3 linked regions of the Pelodiscus sinensis genome follow. The protein of the gene in region 1 interacts with the protein of each later gene in a pairwise test. Links are inferred from orthologs where the notes say so. Each region holds a gene or a part of one and is shown in the gene's direction. Other genes may lie near its edges.

What was found.
Region 2: the proteins of EWSR1 (region 1) and phospholipid scramblase 2-like interact in binary tests that used the Homo sapiens proteins (3 or more experiments, as listed by UniProt). The two-hybrid records come from large-scale screens. The link is inferred for Pelodiscus sinensis from reciprocal best matches to the Homo sapiens genes EWSR1 and PLSCR1.
Region 3: the proteins of EWSR1 (region 1) and ATPAF2 interact in binary tests that used the Homo sapiens proteins (3 or more experiments, as listed by UniProt). The two-hybrid records come from large-scale screens. The link is inferred for Pelodiscus sinensis from reciprocal best matches to the Homo sapiens genes EWSR1 and ATPAF2.

What each region holds. Positions count from the first base shown.
Region 1 is NC_134725.1:5,537,921-5,546,004, forward strand, and holds the start of EWSR1 (RNA-binding protein EWS), read left to right. Parts: upstream 1-5,042; 5' UTR 5,043-5,143; coding exon 5,144-5,156; intron 5,157-7,931; exon of another isoform or gene 7,932-7,952; coding exon of another isoform or gene 7,953-7,956; intron 7,957-8,084. UniProt on the Homo sapiens protein: Binds to ssRNA containing the consensus sequence 5'-AGGUAA-3'. Might normally function as a transcriptional repressor. EWS-fusion-proteins (EFPS) may play a role in the tumorigenic process.
Region 2 is NC_134720.1:23,898,560-23,905,990, reverse strand, and holds the start of phospholipid scramblase 2-like, read left to right. Parts: upstream 1-4,370; 5' UTR 4,371-4,385; coding exon 4,386-4,422; intron 4,423-7,431. UniProt on the Homo sapiens protein: Catalyzes calcium-induced ATP-independent rapid bidirectional and non-specific movement of phospholipids (lipid scrambling or lipid flip-flop) between the inner and outer leaflet of the plasma membrane resulting in collapse of the phospholipid asymmetry which leads to phosphatidylserine externalization on the cell surface.
Region 3 is NC_134726.1:33,122,759-33,130,267, forward strand, and holds the start of ATPAF2 (ATP synthase mitochondrial F1 complex assembly factor 2), read left to right. Parts: upstream 1-4,448; 5' UTR 4,449-4,606; exon of another isoform or gene 4,607-4,658; intron 4,659-5,201; 5' UTR 5,202-5,218; coding exon 5,219-5,348; intron 5,349-5,421; exon of another isoform or gene 5,422-5,638; coding exon of another isoform or gene 5,639-5,723; intron 5,724-7,509. Other genes in the region: GID4 (glucose-induced degradation protein 4 homolog), read right to left, coding at 4,056-4,244. UniProt on the Homo sapiens protein: Plays a role in the assembly of the F1 component of the mitochondrial ATP synthase (ATPase).

The sequences.
Region 1 (8,084 bases):
GCGCTAAGGGCCGAGGGGGGGCCTGTCGCTCTCTGGTCAGCGCTAAGGCCGAGGGGGGGCCTGTCGCTCTCTGGTCAGCGCTAAGGGCCGAGGGGGGGCCTGTCGCTCTCTGGTCAGCGCTAAGGGCCGAGGGGGGGCCTGTCGCTCTCTGGTCAGCGCTAAGGGCCGAGGGGGGGCCTGTCGCTCTCTGGTCAGCGCTAAGGGCCGAGGGGGGGCCTGTCGCTCTCTGGTCAGCGCTAAGGGCCGAGGGGGGGCCTGTCGCTCTCTGGTCAGCGCTAAGGCCGAGGGGGGGCCTGTCGCTCTCTGGTCAGCGCTAAGGCCGAGGGGCCTGTCGCTCTCTGGTCAGCGCTAAGGGCCGAGGGGGGGCCTGTCGCTCTCTGGTCAGCGCTAAGGCCGAGGGGGGGCCTGTCGCTCTCTGGTCAGCGCTAAGGCCGAGGGGGGGCCTGTCGCTCTCTGGTCAGCGCTAAGGGCCGAGGGGGGGCCTGTCGCTCTCTGGTCAGCGCTAAGGGCCGAGGGGGGGCCTGTCGCTCTCTGGTCAGCGCTAAGGCCGAGGGGGGGCCTGTCGCTCTCTGGTCAGCGCTAAGGCCGAGGGGGGGCCTGTCGCTCTCTGGTCAGCGCTAAGGCCGAGGGGGGGCCTGTCGCTCTCTGGTCAGCGCTAAGGGCCGAGGGGGGGCCTGTCGCTCTCTGGTCAGCGCTAAGGGCCGAGGGGGGGCCTGTCGCTCTCTGGTCAGCGCTAAGGCCGAGGGGGGGCCTGTCGCTCTCTGGTCAGCGCTAAGGGCCGAGGGGGGGCCTGTCGCTCTCTGGTCAGCGCTAAGGCCGAGGGGGGGCCTGTCGCTCTCTGGTCAGCGCTAAGGGCCGAGGGGGGGCCTGTCGCTCTCTGGTCAGCGCTAAGGCCGAGGGGGGGCCTGTCGCTCTCTGGTCAGCGCTAAGGCCGAGGGGCCTGTCGCTCTCTGGTCAGCGCTAAGGGCCGAGGGGGGGCCTGTCGCTCTCTGGTCAGTGCTAAGGGCCGAGGGGGGGCCTGTCGCTCTCTGGTCAGCGCTAAGGGCCGAGGGGGGGCCTGTCGCTCTCTGGTCAGTGCTAAGGGCCGAGGGGGGGCCTGTCGCTCTCTGGTCAGCGCTAAGGCCGAGGGGGGGCCTGTCGCTCTCTGGTCAGCGCTAAGGGCCGAGGGGGGGCCTGTCGCTCTCTGGTCAGTGCTAAGGCCGAGGGGGGGCCTGTCGCTCTCTGGTCAGCGCTAAGGGCCGAGGGGGGGCCTGTCGCTCTCTGGTCAGCGCTAAGGGCCGAGGGGGGGCCTGTCGCTCTCTGGTCAGTGCTAAGGCCGAGGGGGGGCCTGTCGCTCTCTGGTCAGCGCTAAGGGCGAGGGGGGGCCTGTCGCTCTCTGGTCAGCGCTAAGGGCCGAGGGGGGGCCTGTCGCTCTCTGGTCAGCGCTAAGGGCCGAGGGGGGGCCTGTCGCTCTCTGGTCAGCGCTAAGGCCGAGGGGGGGCCTGTCGCTCTCTGGTCAGCGCTAAGGGCCGAGGGGGGGCCTGTCGCTCTCTGGTCAGCGCTAAGGCCGAGGGGGGGCCTGTCGCTCTCTGGTCAGCGCTAAGGCCGAGGGGCCTGTCGCTCTCTGGTCAGCGCTAAGGGCCGAGGGGGGGCCTGTCGCTCTCTGGTCAGCGCTAAGGCCGAGGGGGGGCCTGTCGCTCTCTGGTCAGCGCTAAGGCCGAGGGGGGGCCTGTCGCTCTCTGGTCAGCGCTAAGGGCCGAGGGGGGGCCTGTCGCTCTCTGGTCAGCGCTAAGGGCCGAGGGGGGGCCTGTCGCTCTCTGGTCAGCGCTAAGGGCCGAGGGGGGGCCTGTCGCTCTCTGGTCAGCGCTAAGGCCGAGGGGGGGCCTGTCGCTCTCTGGTCAGCGCTAAGGGCCGAGGGGGGGCCTGTCGCTCTCTGGTCAGCGCTAAGGCCGAGGGGGGCCTGTCGCTCTCTGGTCAGCGCTAAGGCCGAGGGGGGGCCTGTCGCTCTCTGGTCAGCGCTAAGGGCCGAGGGGGGGCCTGTCGCTCTCTGGTCAGCGCTAAGGGCCGAGGGGGGGCCTGTCGCTCTCTGGTCAGCGCTAAGGGCCGAGGGGGGGCCTGTCGCTCTCTGGTCAGTGCTAAGGCCGAGGGGGGGCCTGTCGCGCTCTGGTCAGCGCTAAGGGCCGAGGGGGGGCCTGTCGCTCTCTGGTCAGCGCTAAGGCCGAGGGGGGGCCTGTCGCTCTCTGGTCAGCGCTAAGGGCCGAGGGGGGGCCTGTCGCTCTCTGGTCAGCGCTAAGGCCGAGGGGGGGCCTGTCGCTCTCTGGTCAGCGCTAAGGCCGAGGGGGGGCCTGTCGCTCTCTGGTCAGCGCTAAGGGCCGAGGGGGGGCCTGTCGCTCTCTGGTCAGCGCTAAGGGCCGAGGGGGGGCCTGTCGCTCTCTGGTCAGCGCTAAGGCCGAGGGGGGGCCTGTCGCTCTCTGGTCAGCGCTAAGGCCGAGGGGGGGCCTGTCGCTCTCTGGTCAGCGCTAAGGCCGAGGGGGGGCCTGTCGCTCTCTGGTCAGCGCTAAGGCCGAGGGGGGGGCCTGTCGCTCTCTGGTCAGCACTAAGGCCGAGGGGGGGCCTGTCGCTCTCTGGTCAGCGCTAAGGCCGAGGGGGGGCCTGTCGCTCTCTGGTCAGCGCTAAGGGCCGAGGGGGGGCCTGTCGCTCTCTGGTCAGCGCTAAGGGCCGAGGGGGGGCCTGTCGCTCTCTGGTCAGCGCTAAGGGCCGAGGGGGGGCCTGTCGCTCTCTGGTCAGTTCTAAGGCCGAGGGGGGGCCTGTCGCGCTCTGGTCAGCGCTAAGGCCGAGGGGGGGCCTGTCGCTCTCTGGTCAGCGCTAAGGCCGAGGGGGGGCCTGTCGCTCTCTGGTCAGCGCTAAGGCCGAGGGGGGGCCTGTCGCTCTCTGGTCAGCGCTAAGGGCCGAGGGGGGGCCTGTCGCTCTCTGGTCAGCGCTAAGGGCCGAGGGGGGGCCTGTCGCTCTCTGGTCAGCGCTAAGGGCCGAGGGGGGGCCTGTCGCTCTCTGGTCAGCGCTAAGGGCCGAGGGGGGGCCTGTCGCTCTCTGGTCAGCGCTAAGGGCCGAGGGGGGGCCTGTCGCTCTCTGGTCAGTGCTAAGGCCGAGGGGGGGCCTGTCGCGCTCTGGTCAGCGCTAAGGGCCGAGGGGGGGCCTGTCGCTCTCTGGTCAGCGCTAAGGCCGAGGGGGGGCCTGTCGCTCTCTGGTCAGCGCTAAGGGCCGAGGGGGGGCCTGTCGCTCTCTGGTCAGCGCTAAGGCCGAGGGGGGGCCTGTCGCTCTCTGGTCAGCGCTAAGGCCGAGGGGGGGCCTGTCGCTCTCTGGTCAGCGCTAAGGGCCGAGGGGGGGCCTGTCGCTCTCTGGTCAGCGCTAAGGGCCGAGGGGGGGCCTGTCGCTCTCTGGTCAGCGCTAAGGCCGAGGGGGGGCCTGTCGCTCTCTGGTCAGCGCTAAGGCCGAGGGGGGGCCTGTCGCTCTCTGGTCAGCGCTAAGGCCGAGGGGGGGCCTGTCGCTCTCTGGTCAGCGCTAAGGCCGAGGGGGGGGCCTGTCGCTCTCTGGTCAGCACTAAGGCCGAGGGGGGGCCTGTCGCTCTCTGGTCAGCGCTAAGGCCGAGGGGGGGCCTGTCGCTCTCTGGTCAGCGCTAAGGGCCGAGGGGGGGCCTGTCGCTCTCTGGTCAGCGCTAAGGGCCGAGGGGGGGCCTGTCGCTCTCTGGTCAGCGCTAAGGGCCGAGGGGGGGCCTGTCGCTCTCTGGTCAGTTCTAAGGCCGAGGGGGGGCCTGTCGCGCTCTGGTCAGCGCTAAGGCCGAGGGGGGGCCTGTCGCTCTCTGGTCAGCGCTAAGGCCGAGGGGGGGCCTGTCGCTCTCTGGTCAGCGCTAAGGCCGAGGGGGGGCCTGTCGCTCTCTGGTCAGCGCTAAGGCCGAGGGGGGGCTCTGGTCAGCGCCAAGGGCCTGCAATGCCACAGGCTACTTGGGCTAGGCTGGGCCCACGCCAGGGCTGGCCTTACCGTGAGGCGAGCTGAGACGGCCTCCTCAGGTGCCAGACTCTGCGGTGGCGCCACTAGGACCCAGGGTGTAGAAACTTGTTTCTGCTGCTGGTGCAGCAAGGGAACATGGGGGCGTCATTTGAGCTTCCCGCCTCAAGTGCCAAAATTTTGTGGGCTGGTTCTGCCCACATCGGTCGAGCCACCGCTTAACTGGTAAGGCCCACACAGTGTTATTTCACGGTTAACATGGTACGGACATGGCATAATTCCCCCATGACATTAGCTCATTGCACTGAAACCCGCACAATGACGTCAGAGCTCTACCCACAGCTGTATGCAATACATCACAGCGGCGCACTGTGACGGTGCAATACATCACAGCGGCGCACTGTGACCGTGCAATGACATCACAGCGGCGCGCTGTGACCGTGCAATACATCACAGCGGCACACTGTGACCGTGCAATGACATCACAGCGGTGCGCTGTGACCGTGCAATGACATCACAGAGGCGCGCTGTGACCGTGCAATGACATCACAGTGCTGTGCTGTGACCGTGCAATGACATCACAGAGGCGCACTGTGACCGTGCAATGACATCACAGCAGTGCGCTGTGACCGTGCAATGACATCACAGAGGCGCACTGTGACCGTGCAATGACATCACAGTGCTGTGCTGTGACCGTGCAATGACATCACAGAGGCGCGCTGTGACCGTGCAATGACATCACAGCGGCACCCCAGTGCTCCATGTCCCCGGCACTGCAGGCTAGCTCAATGTGACCCATGCACGCCTCGCCCCGCACCCTGGCTGCGCGCTGCCCGCGCTCCCTTCCCCCACCGCTGAGGCCTAGTCTGCCTTTCCCTAGCGCGTCTCTTGAACGACGCTCCCTTGCTGGGATGGACTGAACCATTCGCCACCCCGAAGGGGAGAAAGGCTGCAGCGGCATCTGCGTGGCCGCTCTCGCTTTCCTTGCAGACCCCGTGTGCTCCTTGGCGGGGGCGGCGCCGGGCAGCGGGATGCGGCAGGGAACTGTAGTGAGCTCCCCCCGGTGCCGAGTGGTAGGAGCCGAGGTTGGAAAGGGTGCGCATGCGCACGAGCGCGCGGCAGAGCGACCAGACGTTGAGAGGACGAGGAGGAAGGCGAGAAAATGGCGTCGACGGGTGAGCGACGGGGCCGGGCCGGGCCGGGCGGCGCTGGGCGGGGGCCGGGCCCGATTCCAGCCCCAGCTCCGGGGGGAGGGCGCCCGGCGGGGGGCTGGGGCGCGGCCCGGCCGGCGCTTCTGGAAGCTTCCCGGGCCGCGTGGGGCGGCGCTGGCCATTGTGTAACGGCCGGCGGCGGGCGGGCCTGCCCGGCCGGGCCGGCAAATGGCGGAGGCGCCGGCGAAGGGCGGGACGGGCGCGTGCTCATGGCGGGCGCTGCGCCGGGGCCCCGCGTGGCTGCGGGCGCGGCGCTTCCTGCCGGGCCGCTGCACCGCCCGCGGGAATCCCGCCCGGCCCTGTCCCGGGAGCGCGCGGCCAGGCCCAGAGCGCGCTGCTGCTCGCGCCCGGCTCCAGCCGGTCCCGGGAGCTGCTGCTGGGAGTAGAATGGGGCCGGGGCCTTCTCACAGGCGCTGAGTCCGTAGCGCTGCCGGGTTTATGCATAAATGTTCTTAGGCACAGAGACAGTAGCGCACGAAAATCTTACAGCGGCCCTCGACAGTGCTTATGTACAGGGCTCTGGCTTAACATGAGAGGAATTGCCCTAGAGGGGCAGAGCAAGGAGTGATTACATCAAAATGTTAACATTCAAAGAGCTAGAAATAGTTGTCTTGAATTTTGGGGTGTATAGAAATATTTACAATCGTATTGAAGCAAAAACAGGATCTAAATAACTGTTTTTAACATAATTGCATGATTAAAGATCTTGTGCAAAGCACACATTGAAAACCGCACATCAGCAACTTTTAATCAGCATGTTATGTGGTGGTCATAGAACAAATAAGATTAAGTATTGGTAGTAAAAGTAATGATTTTGAGTGTGTCTATTGAAATGTGTATCAAAATGGAGGAACTGTAGTTTTTGTTTCTACTTGTTAGTCTTGTAATGCATTCCGTCCATCATTGTGTAATGCAAAATGCCTAGGTTTCTTAAGGAGAAATAGTTTTAGCTGCTGCTGCTGCTTAAGATTTCTGTAGTAGAGTGGGAAGGGAAGATGGATGGGGCAGTCACTCTTCCCATTAGCACTCAGTATTTGAAGTTTATTTTAAAATCTGCTTTGGGCATAGGCAGGCAATAACCTGCAGAAATTCTTTGGTAAATATTTACTGAGCCTTATTGTGGATATGGTTAGGGTGAAAAGGTAAGTAGTTTAATATTGGGTCTACAGATATATCATAGACCCCGTGATGAATACACCTGGCTACATTATGGTTTCTTTGTATAGGATAGATGGCAGAGTAACTTTTTCTGGGACCTTTACAAAGCTTGGTACAGACAAAGATGTTTTTACTATTTGGGAGTATCCATCTACATCAAACAAAGGAATTGTGTTGTGATTAAAGACCTGTTACATTATATGGCTGTTGGTTTGATAGCCTTGGTGTTGATACCAGTATTATACTGCATTTCACTTGCCAACAGCCCTCTTATGAAAAGACTCATCAGAAAAGCCTAAAGTTTTGCTCCAGTATGTCTTTGATTTGAACACCCTAATCCTTTCAGTTTATCTTTAAAAATCAGCACAGTGAAGATGTTTAAAATGGAGATTTTTAGAGCTTTAACATTAGAAAACTGAATAAAAATTCATGCTTCTAAAAAAAATTAAAACTGATTTTTATTAAATCTGATTTATTTAAATGTTTAATAAATATTTAAAATTATATTTGAAATTGACCGTTTGTCAGCCTTAATCTATTTAATATTTCAACAAAATAAAAAATGTTAAGCAGTGCAAGTTTAATCTGAATAAAAATGATATGTAAAATAATTGGATCTGCTAGTTCTAAAATTTTGAAGGATGGGGGCAGTCAATCAGATAAGTTCACTCTCTAGTCAGTTTAAATGCAAAATGTTTTAAATTTTTTTTATTAATCTAGCACAAGTTTAAGTGCTGGGTTTGTGCATTCCTGGTTTAATTTTAATTTAATTCAAATGACACTTGACCAATCCAGCAAAAAATTAGTAATCTGATAAATAGTTGTTAGATAATTGCTTACATATGTATAGATGTAATGTATCCTTGTTAGCAAAAAAAAAAAAAAAAAAAAAGCACAACATTAAGGCATTGTCTACACTAGAAAGTTTAAAGCGGGGCCGTGGCAGTACTTTAAGGTGGCAGTGTGACCACAGCTCTAAGTAAACCACCTCCACCAGGAGGAGCACTGTTCCCTGGTGTGTGTGTCTGTGTCTGTGTGTGTTCTTCACCAGCTGAGCCAGAATAGTGCAGTAAAGTGCCAGCATAGACTTAGCCTTCATGTAAAAGATGTAGTTACTTGCAAATCTACATATTTTAACATTTACCCATTGGGGAATCAAACGGTCTTTAAGAAAAGTGCAAATGCAAAATATGAATACATTTAATTATTTAAATCATATTTAATTGATGCGGCTCTGCCAGAAAACTTGTAGTACTGAGCAGTTAGATTTATTTTTTTAAATTAACCATTTAATGATTTACTTTCCTCCATGTGTACTCAGTTCTTTTATGGCTGCTTTCTGGCAGGTAATTTTTTTTTCCTCTGGAGAAAACCAATGAAGCATTTCTTTGAAGAAAATACAATTGTACACGAGTGTTGCAAAAAATTATAAGTTACAAATAGGTCAAACATCAGGCTTATCAACATTGACAATGTCACTTCAGTTTAAAGTTAAAGCCAAGCTCTTGAAGAGAGGAGCACCTCAAAAGAAAAGAAGGCATTTAAAGGAAAGTTCTTCTAACGCCACCATGAACAGTGGAAAAAAATATTTACTAAAGAAACATGTGTGAGTGAAATTGTCAAAATGATATTTAAAAATGCGCCTATTGTTCTGTTCAGTAAAGGAGCTTGTTTTTCTTCTGGAGCTGCTGCATTAGTGCTATACCATTGCATTGTTGAGTCTCATAAAACAGA
Region 2 (7,431 bases), on another chromosome or scaffold:
TGTAATCTAGACATACCCACAGTGCCCTAATGTGACTTTCAGCTTTTCTGTTCTCTCAGGTACACAGGAAAACTCCCAGGAAATTTTGAATTTCATTTCCTGTTTGGCCAGCATGGTAGGCTCAGAGGAAGGAAGGAATGAAAGATGGAACTAAAGCATGCTATACAAGTTTTTAATGTGGGAATAACTGTGCTTTCTACCAAGTTTAATTATTAAATTATCTTTTAAATTATCTATTAAAATCTAGATAATTTGATTATAGTAGAAAGGAAGGGACAATGAAGGCACCTCAGGGTGCAGAGAGAAAGGGGGTCTCTCCCTTGTCTCCCCCCACAATGTATTTTTACTTCATTTAGTTCAACCAAGAGTCTGACAGGGCACTATCAATGGCATCCTGATCATTGTTATTAACTTGGAGACAATTTTTGGCCCAGCTGAAGACAATTGTACAGGGAGCTTGTGAGTACCTGCATGGCAATCACTAGGCTAATGAGGTAACAATATCAGGAGTGGAAATAGGAAGCAAAAGCAGCTCAGAGGGTGAACCTAGGCAGAAGCCTAAAGGCTGTGGGGAAGCCTACCCTTGCTGTAAGACTGCATTGGATAAATGAAGAATCAGTACACATCTTGGTGTGTGTTTGTGACTGTGAAACCACATGAACTGGCTACATAGCATGGTTCAGTGGGTTGCAACAGAGCTGCCCTGTTACAAGGAAAGACCCGTGCTTTTATTGCTATAGATACCACTGTTGATGTATATGCTGCCACTGTACATTACTCAAGTATAAAAGAAGATACATGAATAATATGCAGTTGTTTTTTAGATAAGTCATTCACAAAAGTGGTCTAGGAAAGGCCTCTTCGTCTTTAATTATAGTGTTTCGACCATCAATATTAACAATGTTTCACATATCAAAAAAGCCATCTGTGAAATCGTCATGTTAGCATTTACTAAGTTAAGCAATACTTAGGAATGTCAACAGATTGGAAGAACTGTTCTTACAAATCGTATCCTGCTCTGTCACTCTGCAAATATGATTGTGCAATGTTACTATGAGAATAACTGTGCTGACATCTCTGTTACACTTTTAAATATGCCCAATGAGAATCAAATGTTTCCAGAATCCTAAACAATCTCAATCTGAGCCAGCAGCTCATTCATTTAATAAGAGTACCAAGTCATCTCCCACAGTTGCTGATTTGACTCAGTAAATATTATATGATATCAGAAGTTATAGTGGAAAAACATGTTTAACAATAATTTCCTCAACTGCCATGACACTGAAAGGAAATGTTGTAAGAAGTTCCATCAGTTTAAGCAAGTTGATAATTGTTCTCACTGCCAGAAGGTCTGAGAAAACACCTAAAATACTGTCAGTGACTTTCTTGATGGGCCACTCCTATTATTAGTACAAGCACAGGAGGGTGATTTTGCCTTGACTATGGAAAACACAGAGATATAGTGTATCTCTAGCAAAATGTTATGTTCAAGAGATATTTGTCATTTGCAATGAATCTGTAACTGGAAATGCTCAAAGATGTGAATTTGGGTCACTTTGACTCATTAATGAACAGACAAGAAAGCATATGGAATAATATAATAAACAGATTGAGACACTAACTGCTACAGGGAGCATGAGTTAAATTTAATCTGCCCCATAAACATCGGCAGGGGCAGTGAAATATAGCCACAGGCTCTAGAAGGTACAACAAACACCAATTCAATGAAGCAAAAAAACATAGCGGAAGGGAATGGAAATCACAATCAAAATAGAAATAAAAAGTTTTCTGAAATCAGATTCATATTTGATAGAAACGATGGTGAATGTGAGCCAAGAAATATAGTCAAATACAAAGAGACATAAATAATTTTTCAGAGGTATATTGTACTGTTACAACGTACCACCTATGCTTAAAGAACAGCAAGGCTTTGGATCTTGGGGATATATGGACTGTACAGCAAACTTCTTCACCTTGCAAAATACAACTAAATGTAAATGACAGATGTAGCCATTAAATAGGATAATAATGCACAATGGAGTGCAGTCCAAGAAAAAAAACTAGCTAAGGAAAAGGTACAGAAATCTAAAGCAGATTTCACATTTAGGACATAAAGAGTGAGTCTAGACCAGTGGTGGGCAACCTTTTTTTTCAACTGAGCCAAATCTCGCCAAAACCACGATTGAAATTTATTTTGAGAGCCACATTTTTAAACCCGAAAATACATAGGATGGTACACTGTTTTTAGTTTCAATAAGTTTTTATTGAGAATATTCTGCATGCAAGTATGCCTTTTCACCACTCTTGGGTATGTCTACATAAAAAAAGTATGCTTAACTCAAGGGTAGCTAATTTAGGACAAAACAGTGAAGATACAGCAACACAGCATTTAACTCTTATTAGTATACTGTTAAAGTCTATAGGGCAGCCTCAGATGAGCTAGCACTGCTAACCCAAGTTTAAAGCTAAATTGCTGTGCCTTAGTGAGCATGAGTTAAAACCCTTTTCCTCAGCAGTGAACTGTTCTCTTCTGATTCCCCTACATCTCTAATCCTCCATCAATAGGTCTTTCTAAAAATCCTCATCCCCACTCCATCTTTCTGTGGAAGTTGTATAGGGCTCTTCATCTATACCTTATAGCCAAGTAAACTAAATTGCAAAGAAGTTCAACTAGCATCTCTATGCTGCCAGCTCAGTATTTCAGATCAGTCTCCCTCTGTCCAAATTCACATCTCAAGCTTGAAATTCCTAACTATAAGGTCACAGAAAGCAAATAAAACCTTAAAATGTTCAGGCTACAGTTACACATCACAAAGCAGCACAAAAGGAACAACCCCCTCCCAGCAAGTCAGTTTTAAATAAACAAAGCTCCCCCAGCAGTATCTGCAATCCAAACATGAGGAAGTGCATTAACTCACTGGAACAATTACAGAAAGGCTACAATAAAAAAAACCAAATCCTGCAACCCAATCGCCCTATTTTCATTGTTCAATTGCAAGAAGTGAGTAACCTCAAGGGTGAAGACTGCACTGGATTTTTAGAGAGCTTCCAGTTTCCAGAATCCCGGCTGTTCTTGTTAACACTTCTTAGAGGTATCTGTGTGTTGTCTGGTCTCTGGCTATCATGATAAGGGACCTTCTGCACTGAGTATCTTTGCACAGGCCCCTCCGAGTGATTACGATAAGAAAGAACTAGTATTTTACAGACTGTTTAATTCACACAGAAAGAAACTTCTTCTCTCATTTCAGACCAAGCAAAAATTCAGAATGAAGCATCGCTAAAATCCACCCCTCTACTCTCCCGGGCCGTTTATCTGCCCAGGAGTGTTTTACACAGGTTCAAACTAAATGCTCCAAAATGCTTAGCATAACGTTCAAAGCGCAACAGCAGCACAGGCCAGCCAGGGTGGGGGTCTCAGCTGAGAAAAGGCTCCGCAACAAAACAAACGAGCTGTGAAGCAAGGAGTGAGACCCGCGAGCAAAGGCAGCCCGCCCCAAGAGACTGGGGTCCCAGCACCAGAGACAGGCAGCTCCGTGTAGAGACCCCAACGCCACCACCCCCCGACCATACAATTCAGACACCCCGACTTCCCGCAACGAAAAGAAGTGTCTGATCTGCCCCTCCTCCACGCGTCCGCACTGTCCTTTCCCGCACCCCGCCCTTCCTGCCACTTCCCCGTCTGCCCTCTCCGTCCCCGCCCGCCTCACTGACCCGCCCCGTCCTCTACCCCTTCCCAGTGCCCCTGTCTCGTCCACTCCCCCGCCCCGCTGTGTGTCCGGCCGGGCGCCGTGCTGCCCCGGGCGCCACCCCCCCACTGCCCTTGCCCCCTCCTTTCTCCCCACCCGTCCCACTGCCCCTGCCCCCTCCATTCTCCCCCTCCGCCCCTGCCCCCTCCATTCCCCACCCGCCCCACTGCCCCTGCCCCCTCCATTCTCCCCCTCCGCCCCTGCCCCCTCCATTCCCCACCCGCCCCACTGCCCCTGCCCCCTCCTTTCTCCCCCTCCGCCCCTGCCCCCTCCATTCCCCACCCGCCCCACTGCCCCTGCCCCCTCCTTTCTCCCCCTCCGCCCCTGCCCCCTCCATTCCCCCCCCCGCCCCACTGCCCTCCTTTCCCCGCCCCTGCTCCCTCCTTCTCCCCCACGCCCCATCTTCCCCTCCGTCCCACGGTTCCTCCACCCGCCACTCTGCCCGGGCGGCGCCCCCCCCGTCCCTGCCTCTAGCCCCCTTCCTTTACCCCCCCCCCACTATCTCTATGCCCTCCTATTCCCGCCCCCCCGTCTCACTGCCCCCCGGCCCGGCACTCACACGAAGCGGCGCTGAGCAGCAGGAGGTGCCACCGGCCCCACTTGCCGAGACCAGCCATCGCCGCGCTCCCAACTGTGCCAATGAGCTCCGAGAAACACCACCCAGCCCCCTTCCCAGGTGAGGCCCCGCCCCCGGAGCCCCATTGGATCCCGGCCCACGCCCACCCGCCCCCTGCGGCCCTGCCCCACTCCAAATGCGGTTTGAATTGCGGTTTGGTCTAGTAACTAGACTTTTGGGGCGGCCGCCCGAGAGGAGGGAGGGGAGCGGGCGCCCGGCACACAGAAGAGCCGCATTAAAGCGTGTAAAGAGCCGCATGTGGCTCGCGAGCCGCGGCTTGCCGACCACTGGTCTAGACTACAGGGTTTTGTCAACAAAAGTGACCTTTTGTCGATAAAACTATACCTCTGTCTACACTATTGCCAAGTTCTGTCGACATAACATTGACAGAACTCGGCAGTTTTGCCAACGGCAGTAAACCTCATTCTATGAGGAATAACGCCTTTTGGCAACAGAGTTCTGTCGACAGAAGGTGTTATTGCATCTACACTGTCCTTTGCACCTACACTCACATGTCGACAAAGCGGCTTGCTTTGTCAACAGAACTGGATGTAGTCTAGACACTCTTTGTTGAAAAAAGCTTTGCTGACAGTATCTGGCCCAGCGGGCCATCGTCTGAATGGACTGTAATATCCACCATAAAGCTTCTAATACCGTGGTCACCAACCAGTCGATCGTGAGGCATTCGGGGCCACCCCTGTGATTTTCCCCCACCCCCAAGAAGTCCTACTACCTACCTCCAGTGACAATAGAAGTAGTGGCGGCTTCCTGCAGGGTGGACAGAAGTCCAGCAGCTGCGCGCCACTTCCAGGGGTTCCGGAAGTGCAGTGGCTGCTCCCCTCCCCCAGGTCTGTAGCGTGCTGGGAATTGGCATGGTGGGGCGGGGGGAGTCCCCAGAGGAGGTGCGTGCCAGGGTTTCCCTCCTCTGCGGGGGGAAGGGAGAGGGGAGAAGAGTGCTGGGAGGAGGCAGGTGCGGGAGACTCCCTGCCCCAACTGGCACCCTGTCCCCTGCTGCAGAACCCTGCCCTCTGCCCCCTGCCCCTCCGTTCTCCTCTGGTACCCTGTCCCCCACTGGCACCCTGTCCCCTGCCCCAATTGGCACCATCCCCTGCCCCAGCACCCACTAGCACCCTTCCCTACTACCATGTCTCCTGCTTCCACCAGCGTAGTAGGGGCCACAGTAGTGAGGTTTGGGGTTTTTTTGGAGGAGGTTTTTTTTTTGCATCTCACTTGTGTTGCCCCAACTGACTTTTCTGTGAGTCAGTGACACCTGATTCAAAACAGGTTCCCTGCCCTTCTAATAAATAAAGACAATGCAGAAACTTTTTGTGTTTGACATAGTATTTTATTTAAAAATGAAACCTGTCCAACAAACTCCCAATTGCGGCCAAGTCCCCATCTAGCCTCAGCATCATAACACTGCTACACCCCGTCCCAGACTCTAGATCTGAGCCTATCATACACTGGAACCCCCTGCCCTGAGCCCCTGACATATTCCAACCCAAATTCCTGCACCTTCACATCCACAAGCCTGTGGCTTGCTTAGTACCCCAACCCTCCATCTGACCTCAACACTCCCCAGCCAGGAGTCCCCTCCCTGAGCCAGCATCCCTTTCTCCACCTCCTCCAAATTTTCTCCCAGAGCTTGACCCTCCCACCCCTTTCCACACCCAAATCCCTCATTCTCACCCCAGAGCATACATATCCTGTCTCAAGCCAGTGAGAGTATTGCTAGACTGCAGGAGTTTTTCCAGGATTCCAGAGATATCCCGGAAAAATTCTTCCACGTCCATGGATGCGTTTGTTCTTCCATTTTTTCTGGCGGAAGAGCAAACATGCTCTTTCAGCAAGCCCTGTATTCCTCGTTCCACAAGGAATAAGGGGACTTCTGAAAGAAGGGTTTTTTCTGACATTTGGTCCTGTCCAGATAGGCCAAATGTTGGAAAAACCTCTTCCTACAGAAGAATCGGAAAAAAAGCAGCAGTGTAGAGTGTAAAAGGGCTGGGGATAGCAAGTGATGGAGAGGAGGAAAATAGAGAGGGTAGGTGGAGTCTTGGGGGAAGGATGGAGTGGTAAATCTTGGCTTGTTCTGACATTTAAAAAACGATCTTAGGTGTAAAAAGGTTGGAGACCACTGTTCTAATACCAAAAAAATCTATAATACCAAAATACAAAATGTTTCCGAATAAATGTGAGGCGGCCGAGGCCATGTGTGTATGTGTGTGTGGTTAGGAGTGGGTCGCTGCACCGGCTTGGCCTTAGTTTCTTTGGCACTAAAGTGAATGACATCACTTTATGGTTGAAATCAACGAAATGGACGTGCAATGCTCAATGCTCGATGGTGCATAACAGTAATGCGTAGGCCTGCTTTGTGCAATGGTGGAATCGGTGATGGATTAGCTTGAATCTTGACCGGTGAACAAAGAGTATGCAGCGGTTGGATGCGTTCTGTTATCGTCTGTCATTGTGGGTGTGTGGTTTTCCATAACTGACAATAAATAACAGTGTGAGTATGGTGTAAACGAACAAAGATAGTGTGCGTGAAAAAGTCGGCCGTTCTCAACTCATTTCCCGGGCCTATTTTGATTGCCAGTCCACCCCTGCATATAATTCATTTCAACCCTGTAAAATGGTCAAAGTGAATTGGTAAAATTTATACTGAAAAAACAAACATTAATAAGCATTTGAGAAGTGAGATGCTATTCACCAATCTATCAGTTTTAAAATATTATTCTTTAACTGAGCCATTTGTATTCACAGCAGATATTTTTGAAAAACCGCTATTTGCATCAACACTCTTAACGAGGCAGAAAGAAATGATGTATACACAGTAAAATATATATAATTTTTACAGTATCTTTGAGGACTTTTTTTGCTGCACTTTGAAATAGAACATCTTCCCTGCTACAGAGGCAGAAGAGAGTGCTACATTTTCTCTAGCTCCCTCAATTCCCAAGTTACAACAGGTAGTATATTTTCTTTAGTCTTTCTCTGCCCTTAGAATTTCCCATCTTTGTATGGTACTAGTACTATGTGAATAGGGAGAGGTGGTTATGGAAATTAGACAGC
Region 3 (7,509 bases), on another chromosome or scaffold:
TGTCTGGCTTGCTGCTTATACACAATCCCACATCTCGCCAGCTCTGCTCACAGTGATCATGCCAATGCCTACAACTAAAAATAAAGCACCCAGAAACAATCACGCTCAACAGGAATGGGAGGGCTGCAGAGACAAGTGATCAGCTCAAATGAAAGCTGCAGCACAGCTGGCCCCCAACAGCTGCTTTTGCTACATACCTTTCTGGGACTGATTGCTTTGGTTTGCTCTAAGGCAGGGGTGGGCATTTTAATGCCTGCAGGCCACATTTGGCCCGCTATGCCTTTTGATTCAGCTTCCTGCCTGCTGGAGCCCAAGGCTGCTCAAAACAGCAGGTGGTTCCCTCTATGTGCTGCGCACTCCTGGCTGGGACAGAAGGGGAGACTTTGCATGCTGCCCTTGACCCCAGGCCAATCACCACAGCTCCCAATGGCCAGAAACCAACCAATGAGAGCTGTGATAATTGGATGGGGGTGGAGGCAGCATGTGAAGTCCCCATCCACCTTGCCGGAGTGTGCGGCACCTAGAGGGAGCTGCCAGCTGTTCTGAGCAGCCTGGGGCTGCGACATGCAGATAGGCTGCCTTGGGGTCCCTGGTGGGCTGCTGGCTAGAAGCCACCTAAGGTAAGCACCTCCTCAACAGAGCCTGCCTCTGGTACTCCCACCCCCTAATCCCTGCCCCAGGTCACCACCTAGACCCTCTGCAAACCCTACCTCCCCCCGCCCCAGTCACAACTCCCTCCCAGACCCTGCAATCCCTCCTACACCCCTCTACCAGGCCAAAATCCTTTCCTGCACTCTACCTCCTCTGGGACCCTGAACCCTAATCTCCTGCCCCAAGTCACAACCCCCTCCTTCATCCAAACTCTCTCTCAGACCCCTCTCTTGCACCCCACACTCTTCCCCTGAGATCCCTTCTTCACCCAGCCTCTACCCCAGACACCACACCGTCTCTATAGAAATGCAGCCCTTAATCCCGTAACAAAATCTTGGAGTGCCCTCCCCATCCAAAATTATTGCCCACCCCTGCTCTAAGGCCTGGTCCACACTTACAATTTATCAACCTAGCTATATGACTGAGGGGAGTGAAAGATTTGCACTGGATCACTGCATTTAAGATGACCTAGTTCCCAGTGTAGAAGCATTTAGACTGAGGTGTCTGTCCACTTAGGTTATCTCTACTCTTCAACCACTACAGTGGTATAAAGACACTGCTTCAGTGTAAACATTCCCTACAGAGATGGGAGGTTCCACCTCCCTGAGCCGCAGTAGCTTGGTCGATGGAAGAATACTGGGTTCAGGCAACTTATCTATATCTCTAAGGGATGTGGATCTTTCATACTTTGAGCAACACAGCTGGGCAGACCTGGCCTTAGCTACCACAGACCACAGAGCAGGATTAACTACCACAACAGAAAAAGCCCTGTTGCAGTAAGAAGGGATTACACTATACCACAATGACACATCTGCAGCCTTGAAGCTGTGCTGCTGACATGCCAGTAGGCACGGCCATTGTCCCCTTGTCACGGTGAGAGCCAAACACTTCCAAGACAGAGACAAGACATGCAGGGATTGTTAATCTCAGGGCTGAAAGGCTGAAATCCCCATGCAAGCCCCCAGGGCCAAAACACCTATGATCAACGTTTCCTCTAATCTTTTCCAACCATGTGCGGAATACATTTATACGTGCACAGAGGGATGTGCAGATGTGCACCACCAGTAGAAACAAAAAGCCTAGCTGTGGGACTCTGCTAATCACCGGGGGCGTCATTTGAATTTCTGTGCACAGCTTGGCAGTGTCTATGATGGCTGGAGAACAGCTTACACCCAGATGACAAGCATGTGATGCAGTAGTTTCCTCCCCAGCCCTCTTGATGTAGCCTGGCTTGCCATGCAACTACCCACTCAGCCAGTCCCAGCTGCTTTTCTTCCTCAACTGCAGCTGTGGGAAGAAGACTCAAGCTAGTTTCATTCACTTACTCTGTTCTACTCCCACTGCTCCAGGAAGGGGCAATTTGGGCTGTAGGCCTGATGGGTCCCTAGAAAGGTGTCACCTACCTTGCCCAGATCAGAGATTGTTTTTCTCTGTTATACAGCTACTCTTGAGTTTCAGATCCAAATTGGGGGCAAAGGGTGTTCTGGGGAAGGGGATCCACCCACATCACCTGCCCCTCGCAAGTGCTGCTGGGCCAGGGTACATCTGGAGTCATGAAGGCCTTCCCTGGGTAGGAAGGGTCCCTAACCTCCCCTGGACAGCCACCTCACAGACCCAGCCTGTGCTATTTGGTCTGGGGTCCCCACCTGATCTCTGAAGATGAAGTTCCCTAGAAGTGGGGGACCCAAAACAAAGGTCTTAGGAGCAGTAGGTCCCAATTTGAGGGAAGGGGTGCCTTAGGAATGGAGAAATCACATGAGGGGATGTTATGGGGTCAACATGGATACATAAAGGAAGGCAGTCCTTGTGGACATCTCAGGGACCAAGGACCCAATCTGAGAAAGAAAGATGCTTTAAAATAAAATATTGCATGTACCGATGTTGGTTCTTGATCTCTGTGAAATGGGGGAATTAGGGAAAGAAATCTCTATGGAGTAGTCATTGGAGGAGAGTTCTCAGGGGGCCTGTGAGTGCCTGGGTTGCACAGAAGTCCATGCTCTGCTGGTCAGAGGTCCTCCAAAGAAGGCCGCAGTGGGGCAGGAAGTGAACAGAAGAATCCCCAAGAGGTGCTCTAGGAGAATAGGGGGATCTCAAGAGAAAGGACCCTAAAAGATGAGACATGGGGTACTGGGGGAATCGGCGGGCGGGGGGGGGGGGTAGGTGCTGCTCAGGAGGTCCCTGGGAGACAGTCTAGGGTAGAGTGAGAGGGAAGATGCTAGAGGTGCTCTAGGAGGAGGCTGCTGGGAGAGCAGCAGAGGATGCTCTCGAGGGAAGTCCCACTAGGAAGACCCCAGCAGCAGACAGGGACAAACTAGGAAGTCCCCAAATGACGGCACTCTAGGGGGTGTCCCTGGGGGAGGACCCCAGGAGAGGTGCAGGGGAGCACTGGGGGGGGAGGGTGCCTCACAGCAGAGAGAAGCGCTCAGGTGGATTCCTCTAAAGGGAGAGACACTTGGGGATGGATCACTCATAGGAGAGCCCCAGGAAGGGCTACAGGGTGGTGGTGGAAGGGTTCCCTCAAGACGAGGGACGCTCAGGGGAGATGCCCCAAGGAGGAGAGATGCTGGGGGAGGGGGGTAGGAATCCCTGGTGGGAGAACTGCAGAAGGCGGCATCTTGGGACTGGAGGGGATGCCCTGGGGAGGGAGGGGCCCTTTGGGGAGGTCTCTGGGGGGACCCCAGAAAGGGAAGCAGGAGGGGGTGGCTCGAGGGGTGTCGGGGGGGAGGGGCGCTTTGGGGAGGTCTCTGGGGGGGCCCCAGAAAGGGAAGCAGGAGGGGGGGGCTCGAGGAGTGTCGGGGGGGAGGGGCGCTTTGGGGAGGTCTCTGGGGGGGCCCCAGAAAGGGAAGCAGGAGGGGGTGGCTCGAGAGGGGTGTCGGGGGGAGGGGCGCTTTGGGGAGGTCTCTGGGGGGGGCCCAGAAAGGGAAGCAGGAGGGGGTGGCTCGAGGGGTGTCGGGGGGGAGGGGCCCTTTGGGGAGGTCTCTGGGGGGGCCCCAGAAAGGGAAGCAGGAGGGGGTGGCTCGAGGGGTGTCGGGGGGGAGGGGCGCTTTGGGGAGGTCTCTGGGGGGGCCCAGAAAGGGAAGCAGGAGGGGGTGGCTCGAGAGGGGTGTCGGGGGGAGGGGCGCTTTGGGGAGGTCTCTGGGGGGGCCCCAGAAAGGGAAGCAGGAGGGGGGGGCTCGAGAGGGGTGTCGGGGGGAGGGGCGCTTTGGGGAGGTCTCTGGGGGGGCCCCAGAAAGGGAAGCAGGAGGGGGGGCTCGAGAGGGGTGTCGGGGGGAGGGGCGCTTTGGGGAGGTCTCTGGGGGGGATCCCGAGAGGGGAGAGATGTTGGGGGGGCGCCGGGAGGGGCTGTGGGGGTCCCGCCCGAGGGGGCGCTGGGGGACACGGGGGATGCCGGGGGGGGGCCGCACCTGCATCACCACCTCCACCTCGTAGGCGTTGCCCTTGCTGCGCTGCTGGCCGCGGAACTTGGCCCCGCTGTAGAGCAGGGAGGTGGCGACCCCGGGCTGCGCCGTGTTGATGGGGGGCGGCGGCACCAGGCTGGCGGCCCCGCGGCCCCGCGCTCCCCCCGGGCAGCAGCACTCGCTCCGCACCGGCATCTCGGGGGGGTCCCCGGGCGCCAGCGTGTCACGGGCTGCAGGGAGCCGGCCCGGCCGCCTTGCTGACCCGGGCGCTCGCCGGCTGCCCCCGCCGCCTACCTCAGGGCCTCCCGGCGACGCCTCCGCGCGCTCTGATTGGCCCAGCGGGCGTCGCGTCGGGCGGGGCGCCGTTCCCATTGGGCGATGGGCGTCACGTGGGGGCCGCGCTGGCTCCTGGGAATCGTTGTTTCTGTGAGGGCCTTGTGACAGGGCCCTCGGAGGGACAAAAAGCGTTTGTGATGCTGATTGGACGCTGGGCGAGCAAGATGGCGGCGCCCAGAGGCAGAGTGGCTGGGTAACCGGGCCGCGGCGGTGAGGTGGAGGCAGGTGGCTCGCAAGTCGCGTCCGTGCGGCCCCGTAGGGAGTGGGGCCCGGGTCTGTACAGTGGGCTCCGCGGGGGTCTGTCCTTCCCCTCCCGGTCCTATTTGTACCGGCAGGGGGCTCTGGGGGGGGGCGTGATCCCGGCAGGGGGCTCTTGGGGGGGGGGGGCGTGATCCCGGCAGGGGGCTCTGGGGGGGGGCGTGATCCCGGCAGGGGGCTCTTGGGGGGGGAGGGGCCGTGATCCCGGCAGGGGGCTCTTGGGGGGGGGAGGGGCCGTGATCCCGGCAGGGGGCTCTTGGGGGGGGGAGGGGCCGTGATCCCGGCAGGGGGCTCTTGGGGGGGGGAGGGGCCGTGATCCCGGCAGGGGGCTCTTGGGGGGGGGGCGTGATCCCGGCAGGGAACTTTTGGGGGAGGGGCCGTGATCCCGGCAGGGGGCTCTTGGGGGGGGGGCGTGATCCTGGCAGGGGGCTCTTGGGGGGGGGGCCGTGATCCCGGCAGGGAGCTCTTGGGGGGGGGGGGCTAGATGCTGGTAGGCCATCCCAAGGTGTTAGGCGCACCTGTATGTAACAAGTCCAGGCCGTTCCCATCTTGCTGTAGCTCACGGTCTCCCCAGAATGTGGCGCAGTTGCCAGCGGCTGTTCTACGCCGGGCTGCCTCAGGCTCCATGGCTGTGCCCAACACTTCCTGTTGGGGGCCCCAGTCTTTGGCTGCCGTGCATGGTACGGGCATACACGCCACCAACAGGTGAGGACAACGCTGGACAGCAGTCCTGCTGCATGCTCGGCAAATTTCAGCATGGTTATTTCCAATTGCAGGGATGTTTTTCAGTGGTGGAATTGACTAGTTGTAAAAGCCAGCTGTGACCACAGTTTATGAGAGGGATGTGATGCCCCGTCCCCCATTTACAGAGGAGAGCTCTGGTTTGTGGAATGGGCCCCAACTGAACATCTGAAACATCAAGCCCAACAACAAACATTTATTATGTGCAGAGGCAAAAGAAAATGACATCGCTGGCCCAGTGAGCTCAAAATCTAATGCCTCACGCCTCCTGCTGCCAGCATGTGAGCCTGCTGCTCTGCCTGCATACAGCCTCACTGAGTACCTGCAGTTCTATTTTAGGTACTGTTATGAGCTCAATCACCATGGCAGCTGAGTACCTCAAGTTCTTTAATCTACTCCTTCTCACAGCCCCCTTGTAGGGCTAAGCAGTGCTGTGATTTCCCACTTTATACAGGAGATGCGGAAGGACAGAAAACTGGAGGTCACACACAAAGTCTGTGGCAGAGCAGCAAATGAAACCTAGGTCTCCTGAGTCCCTTCACCCCAGTCCATCCTTCCTTAGTCGTAAAGTGGTGCTTTCAACATCTTTCCTCTGTGATTTCAATTGTTTGTATGAGGATGGTGAAATTTGATCCTTTGTTTCTCACAAACTAAGACTCTGAACTTGCAATGAAATGCACATCCTGGAGCCCCATTAAATCAGGACTTGAGGGGGTGAGGGTGTCTTGTTGCAGGATCAAGGCTGTGGGCGCATGCTTGAATAGCCTTAAAATATGGCATTCTTTAAGTCCCTTGATCCTGCAACTGTCTTGTTTCTAGGCAGTCTGCCTTAACTGGGACTCTGGAAACCCAGGGGCCCTGTGTGCACAGTAGATGTAGAAATGGAGCTGCAGTCCAGTAACAGTTGTTAACTCTAGAGATTATGTACATACACCTATGTTGTACTGCCAAGGCAAAGATTTGGAGAGGTTTTGTGTTCTCTGTGTTTTGTGTGGGAAATGGGACCAGGTGTCTGTCTAAATGGCCGGGTCTCTGTGTTAACACAGACTCTGGGAACTGGATCCACAGGGCCAGCCTATAGCTTTCAGTTTGGAATTTATCAGCTGTTGCTCTGCATGCCCTCAGAGAGCCTGTCTTCACGTGTTAATTCATTCCTACATTCCAAAGCCAGAAAGAACCATTGTGATCAGCTAGTCGGGCCTCCTGCATAGTACAGGCCCTAGAAGTCCTTTGAATTCATTTATGTTGCCTGTGGTTTTTGTGCAGGGTGGGCTGTCTGTCAGTGCAGGGATCTAACTGTGTTACATGTGGATGCTGTCAGGAAGTTAGCAGGTGCTGTTCATGCCATTTAGAAGTCTAATGGCTGTGCCTTGCAACAGTGCAGATGCCAAATGTAAATTGCTTCTAAAACTATGACCTGTAGCCCTAAAGGTAGACTTGCTATTTATTGCACCAGACATTCTCCTTGACATAGTGGGTGCAGCATAACGGGAGGTAGACCCTCAATATATTAAATTGTATGCTGTGGTCTACCTGGCATCTACGTGAACTCACTCAGGACATGGGTTTACAGTGTGTTGCGTGCAATGCTCCTGGATCCAGCCAGAGGGCGTTCAGGGCAGTGTGACAGGCTAGCTTGGCACTGTAATTTAGGGGCTATTCTAGATTCAGGTATATCATCAGCTTCCGCCTGAAATCGCACCAGAGGGAGCTGTTTTAAAAGCTGGCTGGATATTGGTGACCTGCCTTAACTACATGGGACCGATAGTACCTGCTGATTAGAGTTGCTGCTTCTCCAGCGGGTGGAAAAGCCATGGCCAGCTGAGCAATGCTCGACAGGTCACATTACTTTTGTTTCCAAGGTAGTGGCTGAAGAGCTGGGCTGATGCAGGGCTAGTTTAATATTCAGCCTGGCAAAGAGGGGCTTGCTGGTAGGGATTGCACCAGCATGTATTCCAGGCCTGTCCTGTTCTCTGGGGCCTCACATCTGTTTAATATTATCATTGGTCATGTTTATTACAGTAGTGCCTACAGGCCACTTGAGAGTGGGCCTCTACTAGCTGAGGTGCTGGACATCGACAGAGAAGCAGATGGTTCCTGCCCCCAAGTGTTTACAGTCTAATTA